4 linked regions of the Cricetulus griseus genome follow. The protein of the gene in region 1 purifies or fractionates together with the protein of each later gene. This does not show direct contact. Links are inferred from orthologs where the notes say so. Each region holds a gene or a part of one and is shown in the gene's direction. Other genes may lie near its edges. The genes, in order: Sos1, Eps8, Frs2 and Crkl.

Region 1 (4,168 bases):
ACTTCATCCAGATTCTAGGAGATCGTCTAAAGATTAAGAACACTGGTTTCAAACATGTTTCATCTGTGAGATCTTGTTTATTGTACTCCAAAACAGCAGGACATAATGTCAGTTTGAGCCCAGGCTGGTTCTTCGAACTGTCTTCTCAACTATGAAATTAAAACTCTGAGAACTAAAACACTTTACTCGGAAAGCGTTCAATGATAAAGCATAACGTGCCACAGTGTTGCACAATGCCACTGTCACAAACATCTGCATCCCTGGGATGGAAGGACAATTTGTAGATACTGCTTCTACAGCGTTCCGGGATCTTCATGTCTCTATTCTGGGTCGTGTGCCAGAAGAAAAAATAAACCATTCCTTTCAGAAGCTAATTATCCAACTGAAGCCGTGAAAGATACAAAGCAGGGTGGACTAAGCCCGTAAATGTGGCCTGTGGGTTTGAGTAGACGCGATCAATGACTACTACACATACACGTTTTCATGTTATGGAAAGGACGAGGGAAACAGGACGACCTCTCCTCCCACCGGACAAATACTGAGCAGAGGTTTTTGTGAGACGGAACCTATCTTTTGTGCTATCTGTTTGGTATACAGTGCATGCTCAGGGCACTCCTTATCTTCATGCTGGGAACAAAGTACACACACCCCTTTCTGAGACCCAGGGTCTTAGGACCTCCTGGAGCGGCATGGGCTCCGGGCCTACGGGGCCACACAAAGGGGGCGTTTTGCCTGCTCACCCCCCCCCCGCCCCACACACACCCAGGCCCTTCGGTCCCGGGTTCGCCTTCAGGGTCCCTCGGCCCCGCCCCTGCAGTGCCCTCCCAGCCTCTTGCGCGCGCCCCTCCTCATCCGCGGGCAGCCGGAAAACCCGGAGCGAACCGGCCTGGGCCGGCGGCGCATGCTCAGTCGCGGGCAGGTTCAGTTTGCTACTAGGAAGCTCCAGCGCTACACGCGGCGGCGGCGGCGGCGGCGGGCGGCGGCGGCGGCGGCCCCAGCAGCGAACTCCGGCCCTTCCCCGCCTCCGCCCGACCCCGGTCCCCGGGCTCCGCCCCGCTCCGAGCTTCGCGCTCGACTTCCCCGCAGGCCAGCGGGAGCCACCGGTTAGAGCGTCCCTCCACGCGCCGTCTCTCGGCGGCCCAGGCCGTGCCGGGGAGCGCAGTCCGGTTGCGGGCGTCGGAGGGCGGCCCGGGGCGGAGCGGGGGGCCTGCCCCGGGGCGGTGGTGCGGGATGCAGCCGCCGCCACCGTCGGGCTGCGTTGGTTCTCGGCGACCGGCGCGCGTGTCGGGTGGGTGGGCGGGCCTCGCCCCCAGCCGCCTCGCCAGCGCTAGCCCGGCCGCGCGGCGCCCGAAGGGGCCGGGCTGTGCGCGGGCTGCGGCCCTGCTCCGCTCCGCTCCGCGCCGCGCCGCGAGCCGCCGCCCCTCCGCCCGCCCCGAGGCGTCCCGCGGGCACCATGCAGGCGCAGCAGCTGCCCTACGAGTTTTTCAGCGAGGAGAACGCGCCCAAGTGGCGGGGGCTGCTGGTGCCGGCGCTGAAAAAGGTAGGAGCGCCGAGCCCGCTCCCGGCCGCAGCCCGCGCCGGGCTGGCCGAGAGCGGGGAGGCGGGGCGCGCACCGCCGTCTTTCTCCCTGGTCGGCAGGGTCCCCGGGAGGACCGTGCAGGCGGCGATCTTCCCCGCGCCCGGCTGCTCCAGCTGTTGACACCCGCCCGGCGTGCGTGGGAAGGCCACACACAGTTGGGGAGGGTTGGCCCCGATAATCCAAGCGCTGAGGCGACGGTTAGAGGAGCCTCGGTTTACCGTGGAGGTCAAAGAAGGCCACTGCCTACCGTCTCGGTCTTAGCGAGCTGCGGTCAGCCTCCCGTTTTGGGAGTCCAGTGCGCTCTTACTGGCTGGAGAGTGCCCTGGCCACAGTGCTTGCCTAAGTAATTGCGAGGTAGCCTGCCAGCAAGAACATGGCCTGCTTGGCTTTGCTCGCCTTCAGTCACTAACTCCCGGTCCTTTTGACACTCCCCCAGCCCCATTACAGGGGTGATGCACATGCCACTGTGTTCAGATGGGTTCTTCTGGGGAGTCTGAGAATCTTTGAACCCTTGTTTGGTTTGGCGCTTTGTATTTTTAGTCTTTGTGTGTTACTTTGATTTTACCAGAGGTTAAAGTAAATTTTTTTTGAAAATGTTGCTACATTTTAAAAGCTCCTAAAGCAACACTGTAAACAGTCTGTTCTTTGGTTTGGCATTTCGAATTTTTAGCCTTTGTTTTTTAGATTGCTAGTGACTAAATCTTAAAAGCTTCCAAAGCAACATTGTTACTTAGTAGATTCTGTAGTAAGACATCTGAAACAGAGGTGGTTGAGTGGATTTTAAAACAACCGGATTGTTTTTGCTCACATTTGCCTTACCTGTAAAAACTGCTTTACTCTTTCAGTAGTTTTAATCTAAATTTCTTGTTGCTCAAATAGTTTTCAAGCTATCTTTGCTAAAATACAGCTTTGTTTCAATTGAGAATTGAGAGTGTTTACTGTACCATTGTGTGGAGGCTTTTATTATACCAGAGAGTTTTGAAAGGTGTTTCATAGTCCTCAAAGGCTAGCAACTTTTAGTTTCTCCTTTGCCCTGTTCATCCCTTCCCCTGTTGGTATCTTACGGTGGAAATTGCCAGAAGACTTTGTTTTTATTTTTCATATTTAGGTTACTGGTTTCTATCCTCAAGTGTCTCACTGCTTACAAACCTCTGTGGTGTTTTTCTATGGAAATCAAAGAGGCCACCTTGTCGTGCATACTTTGTTCATTAATGATCCCATGAGGCCTCACTCCGTCTTTTTTTACATTGGTTTACCTGCACACTTGACTGCTTAGCTTGTAGAAGTGGAGAAGTGTGCCTCAAGATGCTTGAAGCTTGGTATCTTGACAAGATGAGAGAGAAGAGTTGATTTATATGTATAAAAGCCCTCACAGGACATTACCAGTTTGGGGTATTTGGTTTAAAAGCAAGGAGCTCAAAAATAACACTTGAGAACCCTTTGAAGTGGTGGAAAGTGCATTGTAGAAGTTGGCAGACCTCTCTAACCTGCCACATGGGTGGCCCTTGGTGAAATCTATTCACAGACACATTTGTTTGGCTGTCATTGTGGTGTTTTGTTTTTTAATTTATGTAATTAGTTGCCACTATCCTAAATGAAAAGTATCACATAGGCTGAATTCCTATTTTGTTCTTGAGTTATAGACAGTCTTGCCATTTTCACACAACAGTAAATTACTAGAGTTGTAAGTGGCTGCCTTCTTGAGAAAGTGTTGTGTTTCCAGTTTAACACAGTGTTACTCAGGTTGGTTGGTTTTCCATTTCAAGCAGAGGTATCCCTGCAGAAGTGATGTGTTTATAGAATCTTCCTAACATGTAAGGTTCTTCTCATTTAAATTCTCACCTACAATGCTCTTCAGACACCTAAGACAGCTTGGACATATTTTTCATAATCTGAATATGCTCTTGTATCTTAAAATTACTGAATTATCATCTATGTGCTGGGCATTTCATGTAGATGTGTCCATGGACATTTTGTGTGGGTGTGTCCTTATCTTGAACTCTTTCTTCAGACTTTAAACTACTTGTATAATGCCTAACTATGCCTTTTCTTACCGGAGGCTTTTTGGACAGACTGTTCCTTTTATCTGGTCTAATACTACTCAATCTCAGAGATTTTTCCCAAACCCTCAGGGCTGAGTTGGATAGTGCTCCATTGTTTCATGCTAGCATCTTATCCTAACGCAGCAGTGCCTTTTAAGTTCCAGTTTACCTATCCATGCTTTCCATTCCCAACCAGAGAATAGGAATGTTATCCTACTGTGCCTGACACCTGTTAGGATTCATTTTGAACAAGTGCTTTTGTGTGTTACTTTGAGTTTGCCAAAGGTTAAAGTAAATTATTTGGAAATGTTGCTACATTTTAAAAGCTCCTAAAGCAACATTGTGACTTAGTAAATCTTCAAACTGTCTTCCCGCTTTTGGTTTGGCAGTTTGAACTTTTAGCCTTTGTATGTTACTTTTAGTTTGCCAGTGGTTAAAGTTATTTGAAAATGTTGCCAAGTGCGTAAGGGGATACTCAAAATAAAACTACCCCTCTTCCGCCCCCACCAGTTTTTAACTTCTTGGTTAATGGCTTTAGAATTTTATT
Region 2 (3,567 bases), on another chromosome or scaffold:
TGGGAAGAAAGAGAAAGAACTGAAATTGCTATTTTCCTAACATTTGGGGTGGGTGGATCTCTTTATTCCCATATTTCCCACATATATTATAATATGCCTAATCTTAATATTAATATAAATATATAATCTTACATGTTATGTATTATATAACTAAGTTATTATATAAAGCATTATATAATATATAAGCTTTATTGTATATAATATAAATATGTTATATAATATAGATATACATTAGTAATCATAATATAATATAAATATTTAAGCTATAAATATATAATATATAAGTGGCAAAACTACCACAGTGGAGGTAGTGATATAGAATTCAAGAATAACAGGCCTTAAATATGATTATTCATAACGTATTGATACCAAGCCAGGTGTTGGTTAATGCCTGTAATCTGGGCACTTAGGATTCTGGGACAATGCATTTGAGGCCAATTTGGGCTGTATAATGAATTCTATACTGCCCTGTACTACAATATGAGAGCTTATCTGAGAAAGCAAAACAAAAATGTATAATGTGTAATAATCAATGGCATAATTTTACTTTTTATTTTAATGTAGTGAAAATGGCTTGTAGTCGGTACAGCTTACAACAGTTTCTTTGTACTGGTCCCCCATATCTGATGGGACGAGAGTCTGAGAGACAGTAGGTCTGTGATGAAGGGTCACCCTATCTCTGCATACCTGGCCTCTGAGGGCCCAGGTATGACTCAGCATGCCCAAAAACCGGGATGGATGACCATCTTTGGTCTGTGTCTGTTGACTTTTTTTGTAGAGATTTGTGAGGAAGTATAAATAGGTGATTGGAGGAGGTTGGGAATAAAATCGTTCTGACTCAGCATTATCATTTTATTGTCGAAACATTATTCCAGATATGAAGGAAATAATAAATACTATTTAATGCATCATTCATCTAAAAAAATTTAAGTGCATTGTTAAATCTGTTAATGCTGAATTATTTGATTTTCAAAGAAAATAAACTTAAAAAAATAGGCCCCATATATCAGTTATTATAATTTAAAAAGCTTATGGCAAAATAAGTGTGTTTCCTTCTTTGCTTGAGAAGGCTGCTGGCTATATACTTGAGGGATCCCTTCCCTTGTACTTTTGGTAACTAAGCAAAGGTCTCCTTAAAATGGTCCGTAGACAGAATTTTTAATGTGTTTAGTTGGTTTTGAAGTGTTGCTTGAGTAGCTGAAGTTGTGCTGTGGGCATTGTCTTTCTTCTGTAAATTCCACTCATCCATTGTCACTCTCTCACGTGTGCACTGTTTTCAGTCTTTCTGAAATGGGATTTCACATCGTCTATGCTGGCCTCAAACTTGATGTGTCATCCAAGATGACATTGAATTCCTGGTCCTCTTGCCTCAGCCTCTCACATGCTGGCCTTCTAGGCATATATCACCATGTCTGACCTTAATATGTGTGTTTAATAGATAGCGTCTGAGGTTAGAGTCTAGATTTGACTCAGTACCAACCAGTACCTTGGAATCATTTTTTTTTTTTTCTGTGCAATAGTTTGTTCAAAAAAAAAAAGCAAAAAACATCTCTCCATCTCTATATGTGTGCCACATGGAAGCCAGAAAGAGATGTTGGGTCCCTTGTAGTTGGAGTTACAGGTGATTGTTAGCCCCCAATGGTACTTCGAATGGAACTCAAGCCCTTTGCAAGAGCAGTGTCCTCCCTTCCTGAGCCATCTTCCCAGCCCCAGTTTGTTCTTTTTTAGTAGGAAGAACCCCATGGTGCCTTTTAGTTTTCCTACCTTTGAAAAGCGTGGACTGGCCCTCATGTTTACTTCTGTTCTCAGGCTTTAGAAAAACTGGTGGAATGACAGAGTTCTTCCTTTCTTTTTCTAGAAGTCATGACTCAGTCAAAACACAAACTAAGAAATATGCCAAATCCAAGTATGACTTCATGGCAAGGAACAGCAGTGAGCTCTCGGTCCTGAAGGACGAAGTTTTAGAGGTAAGCGATTTCACCTCTCATTCCTCTGAGACAGCAAGCTTGCTGTATCTTCTAATGTGTCTCCGAACCCTCTGAAAGAAAAACCAAGACCAAGAACTCTCTCTTTGTACACACCGCACCCTGGGCATCTGTATCTCTTTAGAAGTATTAGCTACTTAGTTTATGTGACCCCATAATAGTGTTGAGCATTCAAGTAAGAGACACATAGAGCACTATGGAAGAGGGAAGTGATTTCTTGGCTTGCCTTGTTGTCTTTCTTTGGGGTTTATTCATTTTGGAAGCAAGGCTAATTGTAAATTCAGTGGAGAGGAATCCTGACAGTTTAGTCAAAGACAACATTTCCTCCTCTCTGAGAATTCTTGCACAGACATCATCATGTCGAGGGTAGTGTTTCTTAGGCTAAGTTTACAGTATATTTCCTTGCATAGATACAAAGCATTTTGTTAAAAATAGTTTTTATATTTTCCCTTTTGTGGAAACAATAGACCTTTCCAGAATGACCATCTTATTGCTCTTTGAGTACCTCAAATGATTCAGGTACATTTCGAGAACAAAGTATATACTTGGGGCAGATTTGTCAAAGTCACTTTTTTTTTTTTTTGGTTTAAAAAAAACTGTTATTTTTATGAACTACTTATGTATTGTGAGCAAGAACTTTATAGAAAAATAATAGAACATACACTTTCAACATGGCAGTGTTGCTATATTTAATGATGTTTTATAAACAAATTCCTAATTATATTATATAATCTTATTTAGCTTCTCCTCCCTTTTTTGTTTTTGTTTTTGTTTTTTCAAGACAGTGTTTCTCTGTGGCTTTGGAGGCTGTCCTGGAACTCACTCTTGTAGACCAGGCTGGTCTCGAACTCACAGAGATCCACCTGCCTCTGCCTCCCGAGTGCTGGGATTAAAGGCGTGTGCCACCACTGCAGTCATAGTCACTATTTTATGCAAATATCAATAATTATAAGGCTTCATGTTCTTCCTAAGAATTTCAGTCTCATGTGTTCATACTCAGGTCATTATCAGAAGTCAAAAGATTGAGAAATAAATTTGAACTTTGCCCGTGAGTGGGTTTTGTTACCAAAATTTCTCTTTTGTTCCTTGCCTAATGACAGATACTTGATGATAGGAAGCAATGGTGGAAAGTTCGGAATGCCAGTGGAGACTCTGGGTTTGTGCCAAATAACATTATGGATATTGTGAGACCCCCGGAATCCGGAGTGGGGCGTGCCGACCCCCCATACACACACACCATACAGGTAACTTGGGTTCTGAGCAAAAGGTGACATTCACAGATTTCCAAGAACAGGAATCAAGTGCCTTTGTGTGTTAATCACTTGGAGACTGAGCTGGTTACATTTTTGAGAGCAACTGAAGAACAGCGTGGAGAGAGAGAACTATGCGTGTTTTCTGATTCATTTCCTAAGGAATCTGTTACGTGTCCACCAATAAGTTATTGTTCCTCTGAATGCTTTTTTATACCAATTTATGGTATTTCTGACAGATACAATTTTTTCTCCTTGCCCATTGACGTGGCCCCAAGACCGCCGGAGGGTAGAACTCCATCTTTGGCAGCCCTTACCTTCAGAGTCTAGTA
Region 3 (3,567 bases), on another chromosome or scaffold:
GCTACTCCTGAGTTCAATTCCCAGCAACCACATGGTGGCTCACAGCCATCTGTAATGAGATCTGGTGCTCTTTTCTGGGCAGAACAAATAGTGTTCTGCCCAGCGACTGATATTGGGGTTCAGGCTGAAGATCAGAGAAGCAAAGCAGCCAAACCAGTAGATCTTACCTCTACCCAGCTAAAATGGTAATCCTGTCTCTATGAGCTCTACCAAGCGTCAGACTGCTGTCTTCTCCTCAATGTGGCCGGAGAATCAATGCCTGAGACTAACTACTGAAGACCCTGCTCCTATCTTTTATACCTTTCCAGTGTTGGGATCAAAGGCATGAGCCTTTTTATCTTTCACTCTTATGTAGGTCAGGGTGGCCTTGAACTCAGAGAGATACATCTGCCTGTCTCTTGAGTCCTGGGATTAAAGGTGTGTGCCACCACTGCCTGACCTTTATAGCTTGTGGCTGGCTTTGCTTTCTAACTCCTCATGCAAGCTTTAATAAATTATAATTAATATATCACCACACACTGTGTACATAATAAATAAATCATGACCGGGCACTAATGGTACTCTTTTTAATCCTAGCACTCAGAAGGCAGAGAGGCAGGTGTATCTCTGAGTTTGAGGCCAGTGTGGTCTACAGAGTGAGTTCCAGGACAGCTAGGACAGTTAACACAATGAAACCCTTTCTCTGAAAAAAAAAAAAAAAGAGGAAAAGAAAACAGATTAATTATGAATTCATTTATCAAGCATGCACTAAGTACTCCCCCCCCCCATAGAAATAAAATGGCTAAGTATCATTTTTGGATCTTGGGCAAAGAATGTAAACAATGGAGTCAGAACATGTTTTTTTATTAATTTATTAGTAATAACAGTAATGATAATAATTTTGGCTTCCTACTAATGGAGTGATCTGGGCAAGCTATATGCTTTCTGTTGGGCCTTTGTAAAGGGGGAATGATAATACCTGTCTTATGGAATTGTGACAATGAACACGGTCATGATCATAAGGCCCATAGCCAGGCCTGTTGAGTGGTAGAGTGTTGACTGGGCTCCCCCTGCTGTTCAAGATTCTGGAGTAGATGTGCAGATCTCATTTGCTTTGCTCTGAAACATTGTCCTTTAGACAAACAAAAATTATCTGAGAGCCTTATAGATTTATGCCTTAAAATAAGGCGTATGTAATTTATCACAAGTTATTTCTTGCTGTTGGCGCATTCGGATGCTGTCTTAGTCACTGTTCTATTGCTGAGAAGAGACACTATGACCAAGGCAAGCCTTATAAAGGAAGGCATTTAACTGGGTGCTGGCTTACAGTTGTCCTCGTGGCAGGGAGCATGCTTTGAATGCATGGTGCTGGTAGTAGCTGAAAGCAGTGCATCCTGATGCACTAGCAGCAGCAGAGACTGGACTGGCCTGGACTTTTGACACCCAAAACCTTCCGAGTGACATACTCCCTCTCACAAGGCCACACCAAATCCTACTCAAACATTCCACAACTGAGGACTAGACGTGCTTGAGCCTATAGGACCCAGACCACCATAGATACCTATTTCGTAACTTTTTCTTTGATGTGTTCTTACAACTTTTCAAAAATGTTTATCACCACATATTAATTATATATAAAATGGGTTTTATTGGCATTTTCATATGTGTATATAATAAAATCTGATCATATCACCCCTCTTGTCCTCTCTTACTCCTCTCCTCTGTTGCTTATCTCTTTCCCTTACCTGTTAGTCCCCATCTACTTTCATGTCATTGGGAGGGGATTTGGGAGAATCCCAGTGAGTGTCGTTGGAGTCCTTTATAGGAACCTGCGTGAGAGTTTGTTCACAAGAGCATAGGCACCTTGCCTTGGCTTCACCATTGATAACGTCTTTCCTTCCCACATTAACCACTAACTAGGTATAAATCCTAAGCCCCCTGGAGCCAACTCCCCTACCCCATGACAGGGTATGTTGATGGTCTAATAAATTCAGTTCTTATGTGCATAATCCCAGCTACTGTGAATTCAAGAGTGCAGCAACATTGCATACATTCCTTGCCCTTCCTTTGTGTCTGACATTTTCCTGCCCTTTCTTCCGTGCTGTTCCTGGGTCTTGGAGGGTTATACATCCCGATTATGGCTGGGCATCCAGCAGTCGCTTGTTTTCTGTCCTTTGATATAAATACTGCAGTCACTGCTAACCTCTGCTTTCTTGACCAAACTTCTATGGCTTTTTAAAGGCATGGTTGCCATGTTTCCCTCTTGATTTATATTTGTAGGAATCTTTGCATTTAAGTGTGCCCGTGCAGAAGAATTATTTAACATGTTGCAAGAGATTATGCAAAATAACAGTATAAATGTGGTAGAAGAGCCGGTTGTAGAAAGGAATAGTCATCAGACAGAATTGGAAGTCCCTAGAACACCTCGAACACCTACAAGTAAGTAGCCATTCCCCCTCATTTTGCATGTCAGACATTTATAAGATACAGCTTATGGATAGTTAATCTATAACAATTAGAAATGGTGATCAACAACAAAATCCCTGTTAGCTTTAGTTACAGACATTTTTAAAGATGAAAACATTAAATATGTCACATTTCCTAAAATGTGAGTTAAAAGCCAGGAGTATATATAGCTTGGTGTCAGAATGCTTGTTTGTGGGAGTGGGGTCAGGTGCTTTATCACCAACATTGCCACAAAGAACGGTTAGCTGATACAGTAAGACTGGATGGGCTGCTGTTTGTGCTCTAGTTTCTCTATGTCTCACCAGCAGATTAGAGTCTCACTCATTCTTACTCTCTGCCCTACTCCCATATCATCTTTCTCAGCTCCAGGGTTTGCTGCTCAGAACTTACCTAATGGATATCCCCGATACCCCTCATTTGGAGATGCCTCATCCCACCCCTCCAGCCGGCATCCTTCTGTGGGAAGTGCTCGCTTACCCTCAGTCGGTGAAGAGTCTACACATCCTTTGCTTGTGGCCGAGGAACAAGTAAGCAACTGCCACTGTGTAATAGCGAACTGTTTAGTGGAGTAAAGAGTCACAGTGTTGACAATTGGAGCTTTTGTTCAGTATGAATTTTAACTTCCACTGTGAATTACTTATGCATTGACAATGGAAGAAATGGCATGTATTTGCCAGTGTGTTTCCCAAAATATATACAGACATCAGGGGAACTTTCTTTTGAGAAAGCGTCTTACTTTGGAGCCCTGGTTGTCTTGGAACTCACTATGTAGACCAGGCTGGTCTTGGACTTACATAGAGATCTGCCTGCCTTTTTGCCTCCTGAGTGCTCAGATTGAAGAAATTTCTGCGTAGTTTGTGTGTCCGTAGAAAGATACATCTGTTGATGAAGAAAGACAAACTCAGCCATTTCTCATTGTTTAAGAGTTTATGCTGCTTTTTGTGTTTTAGTCTTTGTTACCAGTGAGCTGCAGATGGAAGGGTAGATTCTGCTGTTGAAGTTGCTTGGTTCAAATGTGAACCAAGTATTTGTTAGAACAATATATATAATCAGATAAGTCTGTCTTTTGTTAAGTTATATGATCATTTGCCATTAAGGGATTTTTAGTATTTTTAAAGTGAA
Region 4 (3,567 bases), on another chromosome or scaffold:
AGGGAGGAAGGGAGACAGAGATATAACTGGAATGGCATAGGCCTTTTGAAACATCAAAACCAGTGACAGATCTTTCCCATTGAGACCACACTCCTAATCCTTCCCAAAGGGTTCCACCAACTGGAGACCAACTATTCTAATATATGAGCCTATGGGGGCCATTCTCATTTAAATCACTACAATGGATCAGCAGTTCAGAGCACTGGCTGCTCTTGTAGAGGCCCCAGGTTTGATTCCCAGCACCCACATAGTGTCTTAAAACAGGCAACTCCAGTCTGGGGGCGGGGGTGATCTGATATCTTCTGGACTCTGTGTGGCACAGCACACACACAGTACACAGACATATTTGCAGGCAAAACACCCATACAAATGATGAAATGTTTTTGAAAAATCAATCTCCACCTTTTGTTTTAACTTACTTATTTTGCAAGTGTTTGGGGCACTTTGCCACAGCATGCATGTGAAGTCAAAAGGGTAGCTTTCAGGAGTGGGTTCTTATTTTCCACCCTGATTCAGTCAGATCTCCATGTTTGCTGTTTCAGAGAGTACTCCAGGCTAGCTAGTCCTCGAGCTTCTAGGTGACTCTTGTCTTGGCTCTCATCTCACTATAGGAGTGCTGGGTTATAGCTGCATGCCACCACATGGCAGCTTCTCACAAGGGCTGCAGGATGGTTAAGCTTCAACAGCCAACACCTTTACCCATTGGGCAACACCACCCCCCCACCCCCCACCCCCCTCCCCCCACTCCCCCCCCCCCCCCCCCCGCCAACTTCCTTTTGAGACAGGGTCTCTTTCCAAGCCTGTAGCTCACTGATATGCTAGAGTGGCTGGCCATGGATCTCCTTGCCTTTGTCTTCCCCATGCCTGGCCTTTCACTTAGGCGCCAGTGGTGTGAACTCAGGTGTTTGTGCTCGTGTTGTAACCACTTCAGTGGCCATCTTTCCACCCCAATTTTCCTTCTTTCTTTCTTTCTTTCTTTCTTTCTTTCTTTCTTTCTTTCTTTCTTTTGTTCTTCCAGTGAAACTTCCTTAAAACAATAAAAACAAAAAACAGCAAAGGACTGTTTGGAAAGTAGTTCAACTTGAATTTTCAAAACTTTCGTTAAAATGGAATTTTTTTTGGTTTGGATTTTGGGTTTATTTGTTAAAGAAATCACAAATATGGGACCTTATACATACTAGGCAAGCACTCCCCCTCCCCTTCCCTCTCACGCTTTCTTTTTGAGGCCTTGTCTCATGCAGCTCTAGATGGATGGCCTGGAACTTACATCTGCCTGTTTTGCCTTCCTAGGGCTGAGTTAAAAGCTCCCCTCCCCCCCAATCTTACTACACACTTGACTTCGTTTTCTGTGTTTTTTATCACCTGGGGAGGAGGGTACAAACATGTATGTGGTTAGAGGATAACTATGGAGTTGGTTCTCTACCATTTACATTGATTTTGGAGAGCAAACTCAGGTCATAAGGTTTGCACAGTACACTTTGTACTGCTGAGCCAAGTAACTGACCATGGCTCTCCCTCCCTCCCTCCCTCCCTCCCTCCCTCTCCCTCCCTCTCCCTCCCTCCCCTCTCTTTTCTTTCTTGGTTGTTTTTAAGACAGGGTTTCTCCATGTGGCTTTGGAGCCTATCCTAGCACTTGCTCTGTAGACCTTGCTGCCTTGAACTCCGAGATCTACTTGCCTCTGCCTCCTGAATTCTAGATTAAAAGTGTGCACCACCATCACCTGGCTCCCCCCACCCCCACCCCCGCCCCCCCATGGTCTCTTAGTTTGTGTCTGTTGTAACTAGGGAACTACACCATATGTGAGCCATCAATGAAAAGTGTGAGGAAATATGTCTGTGATGGTTCTAACAAAAGAAGGCTGTATCAAAACTTAGTTTTGTTTTTGTTTTTTTGTTTTGTTTTGTTTTTTGTTTTTTTCCAAGACAGGGTTTCTCTGTGTATAGACTTTGAGCCTATCCTGGTATTCAATCTGTAGACCAGACTAGCCTCAAACTCACAGAGATCCACCTGCCTGCCTCCTAAGTGCTGAGATTAAAGGTTTATGCCAGCAGCACCCAGCCAGAACTTACTTAAAAGTTAAGTAAATTTATATCAGTTATCTGAAACCAAACCTCCAAAATACATTGTGAATGATGGTACATGTGTCCATGTACACACATGACACAAAGTATATTTAGGATATTGTTATAGACAATAGTACAACCAGAATGTACAGTGACAAAACATTCTTAAATTATTGAGAATACAATGAAGAAACAGTTCATTATAGAGGAGGGTGGTTAGTAGATTTGTTTGACAGATACCGATATAGAAATCAGATAAGATTTTTCTTCAGAATAATTGTGTTTCTCTCTTAAGGTATCCAAGCCCACCAATGGGTTCTGTCTCAGCACCCAACTTGTCTGCAGCAGAAGAAAATGTGGAATATGTACGGACTCTGTATGATTTTCCTGGGAATGATGCTGAAGACCTGCCCTTTAAAAAGGGGGAGATTCTAGTGATAATAGAGAAGCCCGAAGAACAGTGGTGGAGTGCCCGGAACAAGGATGGCCGGGTTGGGATGATTCCTGTTCCTTATGTTGAAAAGCTTGTGAGGTCTTCGCCACATGGAAAGCATGGAAATAGGAATTCTAATAGTTACGGCATCCCAGAACCTGCTCACGCATATGCTCAACCTCAGACCACAACTCCTCTACCTACAGTTGCCAGTACTCCTGGGGCATCGATCAACCCTTTGCCATCCACACAGAATGGACCTGTCTTTGCAAAAGCAATCCAGAAGAGAGTACCTTGTGCTTATGACAAGACTGCCTTGGCATTGGAGGTAAAAATCTATCAAGACTGGCCTTTGAACATGGGTTTTCATTTCTAATCTTAAGTTAGCCATCCACTTAAAGTTACTTGTGTTCTTGGGAATTAGACTGGGGATTTCAAAGGATGCACTATTAATGTCTTGTCCTTTCCTAGTCATCATTTCAGTCCAGGTTCCCAGCCTGCTTGCTCTCTTTTCTGCTCCCAAAGCCTCATAGGTAGCTGGTTTTCTTTCCAGCAGGGAAAATGATAATTAGAAAGACCCATTACCTATGAGCAAAATTAGCATTCAGAGATAACAGTGCTACTTGTATAAATCCATATCTCCAACATTGTAATTAAGGAGCAATATAAATAAAATGTCTTAAAATTTAACTAGGCAGAGAAAAGAGTTTAAAATGTATCGCCCTTGCTTGTTACAGATTTTGCAAATCATAATAGTATAAAATAGAACTTGAACATTGTCAGTGTCATCTTGTTTTTGTTTTTTTTGGGGGGGTCATCATTTGGGGAGGGCCTAGGCCCTCCTCCATGTGTCTAGGCTGAACGAGTAACACTCTATGGGGAATGGGCTCCCAAAGTCCATTCGTACACTAGGGATAAATACTGATCCGCTACCAGAGGTCCCATAGATTGCCCAGGTCTCCTAACTGACACCCATGTTCAGGGGGCCTGGTTCCATCCTATGCTAGTTTCTGAGCTGTCAGTCTGGGGTCCATGAGCTCCCCTTATTCAGGTCAGCTGTTTCTGTGGGT

The links.
Region 2: the proteins of Sos1 (region 1) and Eps8 purify together in Homo sapiens (affinity purification with western blotting; 5 studies listed by BioGRID and IntAct, with this or other methods). This does not show direct contact. The link is inferred for Cricetulus griseus from reciprocal best matches to the Homo sapiens genes SOS1 and EPS8.
Region 3: the proteins of Sos1 (region 1) and Frs2 purify together in Homo sapiens (affinity purification with western blotting; 5 studies listed by BioGRID). This does not show direct contact. The link is inferred for Cricetulus griseus from reciprocal best matches to the Homo sapiens genes SOS1 and FRS2.
Region 4: the proteins of Sos1 (region 1) and Crkl purify together in Homo sapiens (affinity purification with mass spectrometry; 3 studies listed by BioGRID and IntAct, with this or other methods). This does not show direct contact. The link is inferred for Cricetulus griseus from reciprocal best matches to the Homo sapiens genes SOS1 and CRKL.

What each region holds. Positions count from the first base shown.
Region 1 is NC_048600.1:3,606,421-3,610,588, forward strand, and holds the start of Sos1 (son of sevenless homolog 1), read left to right. Parts: upstream 1-1,359; 5' UTR 1,360-1,453; coding exon 1,454-1,540; intron 1,541-4,168.
Region 2 is NC_048601.1:11,521,959-11,525,525, forward strand, and holds part of Eps8 (epidermal growth factor receptor kinase substrate 8), read left to right. Parts: intron 1-1,858; coding exon 1,859-1,967; intron 1,968-3,085; coding exon 3,086-3,229; intron 3,230-3,567. UniProt on the Homo sapiens protein: Signaling adapter that controls various cellular protrusions by regulating actin cytoskeleton dynamics and architecture. Depending on its association with other signal transducers, can regulate different processes.
Region 3 is NW_023276806.1:139,240,119-139,243,685, forward strand, and holds part of Frs2 (fibroblast growth factor receptor substrate 2), read left to right. Parts: intron 1-2,259; coding exon 2,260-2,418; intron 2,419-2,808; coding exon 2,809-2,972; intron 2,973-3,567. UniProt on the Homo sapiens protein: Adapter protein that links activated FGR and NGF receptors to downstream signaling pathways.
Region 4 is NC_048597.1:71,850,161-71,853,727, reverse strand, and holds part of Crkl (crk-like protein), read left to right. Parts: intron 1-2,359; coding exon 2,360-2,825; intron 2,826-3,567. UniProt on the Homo sapiens protein: May mediate the transduction of intracellular signals.